Rattus norvegicus: one gene and its partner. The protein of the gene in region 2 interacts with the protein of the main gene of each other region in a biochemical or structural test. Links are inferred from orthologs where the notes say so. Each region holds a gene or a part of one and is shown on either strand. Other genes may lie near its edges.

Region 1 (5,898 bases), about 44 Mb from region 2:
GAGTTCTACCCTTCCAGAGAACCTGAGCTCTGTTCCTACTGCTCATACAGGTGGTTTATAACCCCATGTACTGGGTCTAGCCTCCACCAGTACCTGCATTTGCATGCATAAATACACATGCAGAAACATAATTTAAAATAATTAAAATGTAAACATCCCACCCAGGGTCGGTGGTACACTTTTATAACCCAGCACTTGGGAAGCAGAGGCAGGTAAGTCTCTTGAGTCTGAGGCCAGCCTGGTCTACATAACAAGTTCTAAGCCAGCCAGGGGGTACAGACATCTTTTTTAAAAATAATAAAAATAAGTAAATAAGTAAAAGGGCTGGAAATAGAGCTCTATGAGGAGTGCTTGTCTAGCGGGAAACAATTTCCAATACCATGAAAAACCAATTTCAATATTTAAAAAGGGGGGCGGGGAGGCTGGAGAGATGGCTCAGCGGTTAAGAGCACTGACTGCTCTTCCAGAGGTCCTGAGTTCAATTCCCAGCAACCACATGGTGGCTCACAACCATCTGTAATGGGATCTGATGCCCTCTTCTGGTGAGTCTGAAGATGGTTACAGTGTATTCACATACATAAAATATTTTTTAAAAAACCAATATTAAATTTAAAATTTCTATTTTGAAATATATTTACCATAGAAAAACTTGAATTTAACAATATATTGACAGACAGAGGGACCTGTAGAGTAGTTTTGGAGGACAAGGAGGTGCACTCTGAGAATAAGGACAGAATGGGGCTTTAGGATGTGACATTGACAGACACGGGCATGACTTGTGACAGCCTCAGCTGACAAAGGCCCCCAGACAACAGACTTTCAGGGCAGGGTCACCAGGGTGGAGAGCTGACCTCACTGCCTGCCTCCTGGGCCTCTTTCCCCAGCATCCTGTGCTCCTGACTGAGGCACCTTTAAACCCTCGGAAAAACCGGGAGCGAGCGGCAGAAGTTTTCTTCGAGACCTTCAATGTGCCAGCTCTCTTCATCTCCATGCAAGCTGTGCTTAGCCTGTGAGTAGCAGCCCGGCTAGCGTGGCCTCTCTATAACCTAAGCCTCCGAATACATCCACTCTCCCCAGGGAAGATGAGCCGAGGTAGTGAGAAAAAGAAACTCTTACTGAAACTAGACATCGAAGTGCCTCAGATAAACCAAAGCAAAGTGTGGGTGCCCATTGCTCTCAGGTTTGGGGTTCAGGTCTGTGGTACACACCGCCGAGGCCCTTCTCAAGGTTCCTTAATGTATCCCAGTATTCACTCTGTGGACCGCGTGCCAGCTGTTCTGCAGGGCTGCTGGCATAGCTGTGGTCCAGACAGCACCACACCTGCCATGCTGCCCACCCGGCCTCATGCCTACCTCCATCAGCTGCTGAGATGGTGCCCTATGACCTACACAGACTATGTATTTGACCTCCTTAAATCATGAGCCAGCATTTGCAGGCTGGGAGATTTCCTGGGCTGGGGATGGTCCCCAGCACCCTCCCAAAACAAAAATAAAGGATTTCTTATCCAAATTTAAATTTCTAACCTCTGGACAAATGGAAATCTCTGATACCACTGGGCCAGCATTCCTGGACTAAATCCAATCTCGGCTGGCGCAGTTGCCGTGGCACGTTGGGTGTGCAAGCTGACTTTACCTATTGACCCCTGAATGCTGAGCCTGAGTAAGGGTTTGCCCTATTCCTGAGTCTCATTTCTGCCATTTGGATATTTTAAAAAAAAAAAAACCTAAAACTATGGGCTGACGTCAGAGGCAGCATGGGAAAGCCATAGCTCTCAGGGAAAGGGAAAAGCAGCCCCTTTTCCTCCTCCGCTGAATGCTTTTTCCTCCTCTTCTCTTGGGAATCGAAACTGCCCTTTAGGTCAGGTCCCCAGGACTGTAAACACCAGGCTGTGCTCTCAGACCAGAAGGCCTGTCCTTTAGGATGCTGGAGAAGCTTTGCTCCTCACTCAGTACTTCAAGGTCTCCTTAGTACCCAGGGACCCAGCCAGAGGGCCCAGGAGAAAAGTGGACCAAGGCTCAGAGCTCCCCTGACCCGGAGCTTTAACACGTGGACTTCTTCCTAGAGGGCATGGGGTTCAGTGATTGTCTCTTTGCCTCAGTTATGCCACAGGCAGAACCACAGGTGTGGTGTTGGATTCTGGGGATGGCGTCACCCATGCAGTCCCGATTTACGAAGGCTTCGCCATGCCTCACTCCATCATGCGCATTGACATTGCCGGCCGCGATGTCTCACGCTTCCTCCGCCTCTACCTACGAAAGGAGGGCTACGATTTCCACTCCTCCTCCGAGTTTGAGATTGTCAAGGCCATAAAGGAAGTGAGTGGTGTCCTGTGGCCGAGGGGTGGCAGGGGAATAGTGAACCTAAGAGTAAAGCAGGACGATGCTCCTGCTGGGTCCTGGGTCAGGCTCTGGATCCTCCTGGTACCTGTGTGCGTCTGTCTCGTCTGTCTTGCTCCTTCCCCTTCCTGAAAGCTGCCTGAGTGTGGGAAAGGAGCTGTTTCCAGTCCCTCAGCCCACAGGCCACTGCCCCTGAGTTTAGGATCACATCCTTGTTGAAGTTGAAATGCTTTTGTCTTCTTACGTAAACCCTCCTACCATGTATGGTTTGGGGAAACCTCTGAACTGGTGGGAAGCCAGAACCATACCAGAGGGAGGAGGAGAAAGGTGCCTGAGCCTGGCTAAACTTAGGCAGTCACAGGCCTGGGAGCTATGGAGCCAAGTTCCCAGGTTTGCTTACCAGGAAAGCAGAACAAGAATTCATGGTTTAAGTGTGCCCAGGACAGTGTGTCAGACCCCTGTCCCTGCTTGTGGGCGAGCACTTTTAGGCAGTCGCTGCAGATAGGCATGCTACTCCTGTGGACTTTGCCTGAGAGTGCACTAGGTTTCCTGCATACATGACTCATATCTGATTCTGCAGAGAGCTTGCTACCTGTCCATAAACCCCCAGAAGGATGAGACACTGGAGACGGAGAAGGCTCAGTACTACCTGCCCGATGGCAGCACCATTGAGGTAGTGACCACATTTTTCTCCTTTCCCCTCACACCTAAGCTTTGGGCTCAGCAGAAGGTCCTGAGAGGGCCTGACCAGCAGAACTGAGAACACAGCAGCCCAGAGCTTCTATGGGGACTTCCCTAGGGAGTACTTGTGTAGTGCTTGCTGTCCTAACCATCCCTGGGTACAGATTAGCGAAGTCACTGCTCCCTGGAACTCCAATTGATAAGACATTTCCTAGAGTGTCAATGCCAGAAATCTCTTAGCTAGAAAGTTCCAAAGCTAGTAGTAAGATAAGCACTCCCCCTAACCGCCACCCTAGTTCCCCAGAACGGTTTCTTTGGTCTGTTCCTAGGAGCCCTGTCTTTGCTCCTTGAGACCCTTGTCACAGAAGGTTTGTCTTTAGCCCGGGCTTCACAGACACCTGATTGCTAAGAGATAGGCAGGAAGGCCTCTTCTGTTCCCATTCCAGGGACCTCAGTCCCAGCCCAACCTCTTGAGCTGGCTCTTTACCCCACAGATTGGCCCTTCCAGGTTCCGGGCCCCTGAGCTGCTGTTCAGGCCTGACTTGATTGGCGAGGAGAGTGAGGGTATCCATGAGGTGCTGGTGTTCGCTATCCAGAAGTCAGACATGGATTTACGGCGGACGCTCTTTTCCAACATTGTCCTCTCAGGAGGTTCTACCCTCTTCAAAGGTTGGTCTTTGCTCTTGGGACCCTTGCTAGGGAAGCATCCTCATCCCACAGGGATCAGATGCCCAGAGTTAACTTGGGGGTCTCTGCTCTTTTGTAGGTTTTGGGGACAGGCTACTGAGTGAAGTGAAGAAACTGGCTCCAAAAGATGTGAAGATCAGGGTAGGGCACACTGCAGGCCGGGCCGGGCACAACGGGGCTCCACAGACTTGCAGGACAGGGCAGCTCTGTCCCCTGCCGGGTCTCCCCCAAGCTCTCCAGGTAGTGCAGACTAGTACCCCATGGCCTATCAGGAAAACTGAATTGACAGCTTGACCTTACCGTTACCGTGCCCTCTCCCATCCCCCAAGGTAGGACCCCTGTAATGCAGTTGCCTTCTGAACGGCTGCTGAAGGGCTTCATGTGGAGAGGACAGGCCCCAAGAGAAGGCATCTAATTCCTGCCATAGGTGTATCTCCCCACGTACGGTCAGGCTGGCCACAGCTCCTGCAAAGAGCCTATTGCGTGGTGTACATCCATTACACCCAGCCAAGGGACAGAGTGAGACAGTGGGCAGGGACAGGGTGGGGCTGAGAAGGTGGCTCAGCACTTGCTATGTAAGCATCAGGACCAGAGTGCAGATGCCCAGAATTCACATCAGAGCCAGGTAGGCATGGCCACCTCTTAAAATGGCAGCCTTTGGGAGGTAAAGACAAGGTCCCCAAGGGCAAGCTAGCTAGGTAGGCGAGCCAGCATGAGCCAGGAAGACCAGGTGTCAACCCTGGGCCTCCATGCACACACTCATGTGCATGTGCTCCCACACACCTGGGAACACACATGTAACAGAGGGATGACTGCGTCTGGGTGTCTTAGATTCCTCTCCTGTCCCCCTCTGCAGATATCTGCACCCCAGGAGAGACTGTATTCCACATGGATTGGGTGAGTAGCCCACGGAATAAGAGCAGAATGGGAAGCGAGGCTCTGACCATCCCACCATCCTACCTTGTCCCACCCCCAGGGAATTGACCGGCTGCACAATTTCATTCAGTCACACTGCTTCTCTGGGTTTTCTCCACTGCAGAGGCTCTATCCTTGCCTCCCTGGATACCTTTAAGAAGATGTGGGTCTCCAAGAAGGAATATGAAGAAGATGGTGCCCGATCCATCCACAGGAAAACCTTCTAATGTTGCGACATCACCACCTCTCTCTGAAGTTAACTCCACTTTAAAACTTTCTTGAGCTGGAGTGTTTGAGAGGAACTGCCTGTGTGTATGAGTGAGTGTGTGGGTATGGTATGAGTGTGTACTACTATGGAGTGCCGTGTGGCCCAGAAATCCTGGGCCCAGAGAGGACATTGAACTACCCACGAGGGGGATGGCCTGAGGCCTGGGGTTGACTACTCACTGGCCCCTTGCAGGAAGAGCTCTGGCAGAGGCCCACTCCTTTCTCAGCCAGGCCTTTGGCTGACTGTGTGGAACTATGGTTACTACCATGAGAGACCTTGCTGCTGCCAATCTCGGCTGGGCTGGCCCTGCTCCACTCCACCCGAGTGCCCTGAGGCCAGAGGCAGCTGCTGTCTCCCCAGCTCATCATTCTGTGCTGCCCATGCCTCTGGATCACACCGAGAACTGGGGCTGGGGTTAAGTTCTGTCTGGTTTGGTTCAGTTTGGGTTTGGGAGACTGAAAAAGCACTCTAGCAGTGGTTAAAGACTGGGTTCAGGAGAGAGCAGGGTACACTCACATCCACCTGGGAACCAGGTAGCAATTTGGACCGCACTGGGCATTTGGGAAGGATGGGGGATAGCTTCAGGGTTGATTTACAAGCTCCAGCCACATCCAGGGCTCGGGGACACTGTAAGGACTGTGGGCTCCAGGTCCTGCTGTTTGCTTCTCATACATCTTGGTTTCAATACCATCGCCATCGGTTTATTTATTGACATGTTTGTTCAGTAAAGGGAGTAGAGAGGGCTCCTGTCTCCTGCCCACTGGTCACCTTTGCTTACACTAATGTTTACAGCACCCAGGCTTTCCACAGTATCAGGGGCTCTGGCATTCCCTGCTGATAGTGAACTGACAGTATTCACGGGCCTCAGGACCCTGTGGGATTGGAGGCCGCACATGAAGGCACCCCAACCAGCCTCTTCCTTTCTCCTGGCCCCACTTGCTCACTGCCCTGGAGCCAACAGGCTGGTTGTGGTTGGATTTTCTAAGACAGGAAGGAGCATCCCTCTTTGGC
Region 2 (5,898 bases):
CTCCTGGGCATCCATCTGCAGGTTAATCCCATCCATCCACAGCATCAACTCCCGGACAGCCTTGAAGAATCGGAATTTGTCTGTGGTATCCAGTAACAGCTGGCGACGGGCAGCAGAACTTCCCTGGAGCTGGGCCCACGCCTCAGCCACTGCCTGCATGTGACGGCCAATTTCCTCAGCCTTGTCTCCAGCATAGGCCTTTTGTAGCCTGAGGCCATCGTCCTGAACCTGCTGGACCTGAAGGTGGGAACGCAGGTCTGAGTCAGGCAGAGCTGGAGCCTCTCATCCCCACATCGATTTCTACTTCCTGTCTGTACCACCAGCCGGAGTTGTGGTAGGAGGAACCACGATTCTAAAATCAAGTTGAGCTACTCTATTCCAAGGCATAAGGGGCACTGGAATTACTAGGGTGAGATGTGCAGCCTGCAGACTGGAGTTTGGTTGCAGGCTGACTGGTCATAGGGGTTGAAAGAATGATCGGTGTTAAATTTATGAATTGAGAATTCTGGCCTGAAAGGGATCAAAATAGGTAGGTTTAGGCATAGCATGAAGGATCTTGCAGCCATTGGAACCATTTGAAAAAATTGTAGGTCCTCATTAAAAGCATGAACTTAGCCAGGGAGATGCCTCAATTTGTAAAAATCACTCACTCAAGCCTGATTACCAGAACCTAAAGTGCAAATATTTGATTCTTACAACAACTCTTACAACACTGCCCTCTGACCTCCATATACACTGTAACCTGTACTCTGATGCTATAAAAGAATCCTGAATGTGACAGCTGATATCCATCGGCTGGAGGTATCTTTCAGGAGTGATTTTAACCTCATCTCCAAATGCCCCTTCAGGGGTGCCATCCTTCCCCAGGTTTTCCCTAGCACACAAGACACCCCCCCCCCCATTTCCCAACACACAGTTTCCTCTCAGCCCCTCCCTCCCGACTTGTTCAGCTAGGGTCAGACCTGAGTGCTGAGGGCTTGGATGTCGTGCTCATAGGCGCAGTGCCGGCGCTGCAGGGCCTCAGCAGCATTGAGGTCGCGGCCCGTCCCATCTGGAAGCTGCTGCTGCTTGTGCTGCACCCGTGCCAGGGCTTGGCGGGCCCCATGCAGGAAGCGCTGCAGCTCATAAGCAGCAGCCAGCACCTGACCTCTTGTGTCCAGCAGCTCCAGCAGGTCAGCCCAGGCCTCATTGAGACTGTCCTTCCACTCGGCCACGGTGGCCCGTGCAGCATGGCCCCCAGCAATGAGCCCATTGGCCAGGGCATTGGCACTGTCTACACGCTCTTGGCCAATGGTGCTGGTGTCCCTGGAGAACTCTCGGAATTTGTCCCGAAGCATCTGATGGAAGAAGCATTTGTAAAGACAGAGATGAGACCACCTGTGTGAGGTCCCTGTCTCAAGGAGCCGTCACTTCTCGCTGAGAACCCACTGGTCAGTGAGCAGGTATGGCAGCTTTAAATTTACACTTGTGACTTGCTTAACAGGACACAACCTGAGAAATGCATCACTGGGGAATTTCACCAGGGTACAAATGTGAACTAAAATGGCTGGGGTAACATAATACCACAGTCCTATATGACACCTGACATCCTACGAAAGGTATCTAGAGACACTCCAAACCCATAGCCCTTAATAAGGATACCCTAAGTATGGGCTGGATTTCTGCACCAGAGGACCCAAATCTCCAACCACAGCAGTGAATCTGAGACACTCCCTTTTTTGTTGAGGTCTGTTAGAAAAGAAATTTCATTTTGATCCTCACCTATGGCCATCCCTGTACCCCTTTTTCTGCACAGTTGCTCAAGTTGGGTAACTCAAAACCCACCTACTCTTGCTGCGTCCCCACCCTCATCATCCTGCCTGGGCCAACGCTTTGGTCTCCCTGTGGGCCCTGATCCTTCCCGGTGCTGATCTGCATAGTACTCACAGTCACATGCTCATAGTCCTGGCCCAGTTCATGGGAGGCTGCCACGACTTCTCGCTCCTGTATCCACTGCTCCAGGTCATCCAGCTCTCTGCGGAGCTGGCACAGCCTGAGGTGCTCCTGCAGACGCTCACGCCGCTCTCCTGCCAGCTCCTTTAGGCCGGCATACAGCTTGTCCACCTGGGCTTGGCGTATTGTTAACCTTGTGCTGCAGAGGTAGAGAGAATGGCTCCTTCTGTGGAGCTCTGCCATCCAACTGCTCTGCCTGCTAATGCCTGCCAAGTCTCTGCTCCTCCCAACTTTCTACTCTGTGTGCACGTGGTTCATAAGACGCCACCATCCCTTTACTTTCCCAGTACCAGCCTCCCCGCTCCTCCAGGGTTCCCTGATACTCATACACTCACCTCTCTGGATGTTCATGGTCAATCATATCTTGACTGCTGGCTGCTAGTTGTTTGATGGTCTGGGCATAGTCAGCAAGGGCTTGTTCTAGTACCTGATGCTTCTTCACTTCTGCCTGGGCGCTCAGCTCATCCTGGGAGAGGGAAAATTGAGTGTCAGGCAGCAGGGGCCAGGAGCAGAAGAACTGGCCACACAAACCAGCCATTGCTCTGACGCTCACCTTGGCCTTTTCCTGGCCCATCATATGTAACTCCTGCTCCCCCATCCAAGCCTCGGCCTCTGCAGCGTCACGATAGAATTGCTGGGCTCGAAGGGCCTCCTCCAGTCGTTTACCCCGAAGCTCCAGCTCATGGCTCAGGCGTTTCCACATTTCCTGGAGCTCAGCCAGCTCTGGACCCGCTGCTGCTGTTCCCAGAGTGCGCTGTCTCTCTTTGAGGTCTGCAATCCGGGGCTCATGGCCCTGGATCTCCTTCTGCAGAGTCTGTCCAGAGCAACAGAAGATACAGTGAACGGCTTGCAAAAAGTTCGAACCCCTTAGACCTACTCCACCTTGGGCCCTCCCTACATTCTTCTCTTTCCTGAATCCTCTGGAAGATTCTTCCCCCCCTCCCCCCGTCTTTATTAACGTGAGTATTTCTTATTTACATTTCGACTGTTATTCCCTCCTGGTTTCCAGGCCAACATCCCCCAACCCCTCCCCCTCCCCTTCTATATGGGTGTTCCCCTCCCCATCCTCCCTCCGGAAGATTCTTTGGGATGCAATGTGATACCCCTTCAATCCTCATGCTTTCCTACCACAGAGGCCACTCTCCTGCGCTAGGGAAAGGTAATTCACCAAGTCTAGGGCAACAAGCAAGAAGACAATGCCAGAGACACCCCATCATAGAGAAAACAAGAGAGTGGGGCATGGCAGTGTACATAACCATTAACTCCAGCAGACAAAAGTGGATCTGTGAGTTCAAGGCCACCCAAAGATACATAGTAAGATCTTGTCTCAAACCAACAGCACTCATCCTCCACCTCCCATCACCACACAAAAAGGGAAAAAACAAAGGTCTGAGTGTGAAGAACCTTGAGAATCTTATTTTCACTCTTGCCCTCTGCCTCACCTGGTTTTTCTTCATGAGAAGCTGGACGCTGGGCAAGTCCTTGCCATGCTCCAGAGAGCTGGCCATGGGAAGCCGCTCGGTCACCCACAGCTGAAGAGAAAGAAAAGGTCAGTGGAGATGTGAGCGGAGCTACCCACAGCTCCAACTGTGTACCTGAGGGCAGGGACCTAGCAGAACATCCGTGAATGTCCTTGGAGGGGATGGGCCACTTCCTGAGGCACTTCCCCACTGCCCAGGAAGTGGGCCTGAGAGCCACATGGCCAGGGCAGCTTGCCGTAACTCACTATCTCATCCTCCACATCCCGGTGGAACTGGTGCTGCTCTCGGGAGGCTTGCAGGCGCCGGCAGCGGTCCTTCATGGGCTGACACAAGGCCCTGAACTTCTCCTCCACAGCTCTGGAGGTCCTTTCCACCTCTCCTGCACTTTGGTCTTCCTGGGCCAGGGCTTTTGCCTGGGCCTGGATAGCCTCTACCTCCTTCTCTCTCACAGCCATCTCTCGTTCCAGCATCTACAAACATAGAGGAGATAAGAGAGATTGGTGCCACTTTTCTACCTTCAAACTCATAAGGCAGAAGCCTCTATCAAACCACCCATGATTTCCGATTCCTGGGGCCTTCTCCCAGGAAGAACAACTCCTTATAGTCTGGATAGGTCAGTCACAAACTCAGGCAGGCAGGCAGGCAGGCAGGCAGGCACGCGTGCGCACACACACACCACACACACACACACACACACACACACACACACACACACACACACACGCACACACACGCACACATTCAGATGTTGAACTAGTCCCTACAAACATGATTTTTTTTCCAAGTAGTGCAATGCCTGTCTTGTCAGAAGAGGGCACCAGAGGAAAAGCCCGAAACACTGAAGCAGGCCTAGCTTTTCGCTTGGGTTTCAAACTGCCATCAGAGTACAAGCGATCTAGTGGCTCTTTCCCCTCCAGGGAAAAGAATCCTGCTATTCCGGACTCTTAGGGTCGGGGAATCAGCAAAGACAGCCTATTTACTAGATTAAGTATATTGGTGCACTGGTCCATTCCTTATAGTATTGTGCATGGCATTTGTTTATATATAAGAAAGACAAAGTTGAATGGCTGGGACAGATCCTATGACCTACAGAATGCAAAGTATTTATCATTTAGCTCTGTTGAAATGTTTTTATATTGTATTAATCTGTGGCTGTATATGGGTTCTAGGGCTTGAACTCAGGCTGGTGATAAGCATTTTTACACAGAGCTGTTGTTGGCCCTACTGCCTCTTTACAGAGAAAAGGTGTTCTGACACCAACTGTAAAATTCTTTTTAGACTTGCTCTGGTTTAAGTTGTAATTTGTTTCCTCCAAAACTTATGCTGAAGTCTGGTCCTCAAAGTAAAGTGTTGACAGACAGTAAGAGGCCTTTACAAGATGGAGTAGATCATTAAAGGGATTTATGTAGTTCCCATGGGACTTGGTTAGTTACAAGAACAGGTTGTAAAGTGAGGCTGCCTCTCGGGTTTTGTCTCTCACACGAACTAATTTCCATTCTGTTCTGTCCTCTTACGACACAGTACAAGACTCATCAGAAACCAAGCAGATACTGACTGCTACTACACCCTTGTACCTCCAAAACTGCAAGCCAAAATAAAGTTTTTAAAAAAATAAATCACCCAGTCTCAGGTATTTTATTGTAGTAACAGAGCACAGACCGAGATAACACCTTTAGTAGTAACACCTTTTACTAATGAGTAGCTCTTTTAAACTAAAGTTCCTCTGTTCAAGTTATTAGTGTGGCCTGTCTCCTGACTTTCCTGACTGACTCACAGCCTTGTAGACTGTGATGTTGTATTTAATTAAGATCACTGTCAGAAATGCTAAAAGATGTCATACACCAGGCCTCCTGAAGTCCAAAAGCTAGGCACCCTCTTCCATTGTCTGGCTGTTCACCCTCCCCAAAGGTTCCTTGCATACCTGTTGCTTCTTTAGCAGAATGTTGACACTGGTGAGGTCCTTGCCATAGTCATCTGAGTGCAGCTGGGCCTGCAGGCTCTCCAGCCAGCTCTCCAGGGCAGAACAGCTTTGGGCAAATAGCTCTGCCCGGTTAGCATCAAAAAGACTGCGGGCCTTGGCTTGGGTGGTAGTCTCCAGTTCATCCCAGCGCCTGTGCAGGTCCTCCAGCTTCTCTGACACTAGGACTTTGAGTTCTGGCTTTTCAAGAGTCAGCTCCCGCCCTTCCTAAGTGACAAGACAAAGGAGGTCTAAGTGCCAAAGGCAGACTCCACTGAAGGTTGCAGGCTGACCACAGGCCCAGGATCTGAGCAGTATGAAATGTGCCAGGTAGTTCTAATGTCCTGTGTGAGGCAGGCTCATCAATAGACTTTCCCAGAGGTTTTGCAAGCCTCCCATACTGCTCTTCACTCTTGACCACACTCCACTCAATCCAACTTGACTTTCCCTTAGGGAGTCACTGCAGCT

What was found. The genes of interacting proteins can lie anywhere in the genome.
Region 1: the proteins of Sptbn2 (region 2) and Actr1a form a complex in vitro, tested with the Homo sapiens proteins (2 studies listed by BioGRID). The link is inferred for Rattus norvegicus from reciprocal best matches to the Homo sapiens genes SPTBN2 and ACTR1A.

What each region holds. Positions count from the first base shown.
Region 1 is NC_086019.1:255,179,762-255,185,659, reverse strand, and holds part of Actr1a (alpha-centractin), read left to right. Parts: intron 1-884; coding exon 885-1,009; intron 1,010-2,098; coding exon 2,099-2,315; intron 2,316-2,916; coding exon 2,917-3,009; intron 3,010-3,511; coding exon 3,512-3,686; intron 3,687-3,783; coding exon 3,784-3,845; coding exon of another isoform or gene 3,846-3,998; exon of another isoform or gene 3,999-4,560; coding exon 4,561-4,601; exon of another isoform or gene 4,602-4,743; coding exon 4,744-4,846; 3' UTR 4,847-5,898. UniProt on the Homo sapiens protein: Part of the ACTR1A/ACTB filament around which the dynactin complex is built. The dynactin multiprotein complex activates the molecular motor dynein for ultra-processive transport along microtubules.
Region 2 is NC_086019.1:211,462,659-211,468,556, reverse strand, and holds part of Sptbn2 (spectrin beta chain, non-erythrocytic 2), read right to left. Parts: intron 5,659-5,898; coding exon 5,395-5,658; intron 3,944-5,394; coding exon 3,719-3,943; intron 3,525-3,718; coding exon 3,435-3,524; intron 2,807-3,434; coding exon 2,546-2,806; intron 2,459-2,545; coding exon 2,328-2,458; intron 2,132-2,327; coding exon 1,927-2,131; intron 1,338-1,926; coding exon 963-1,337; intron 238-962; coding exon 1-237. UniProt on the Homo sapiens protein: Probably plays an important role in neuronal membrane skeleton.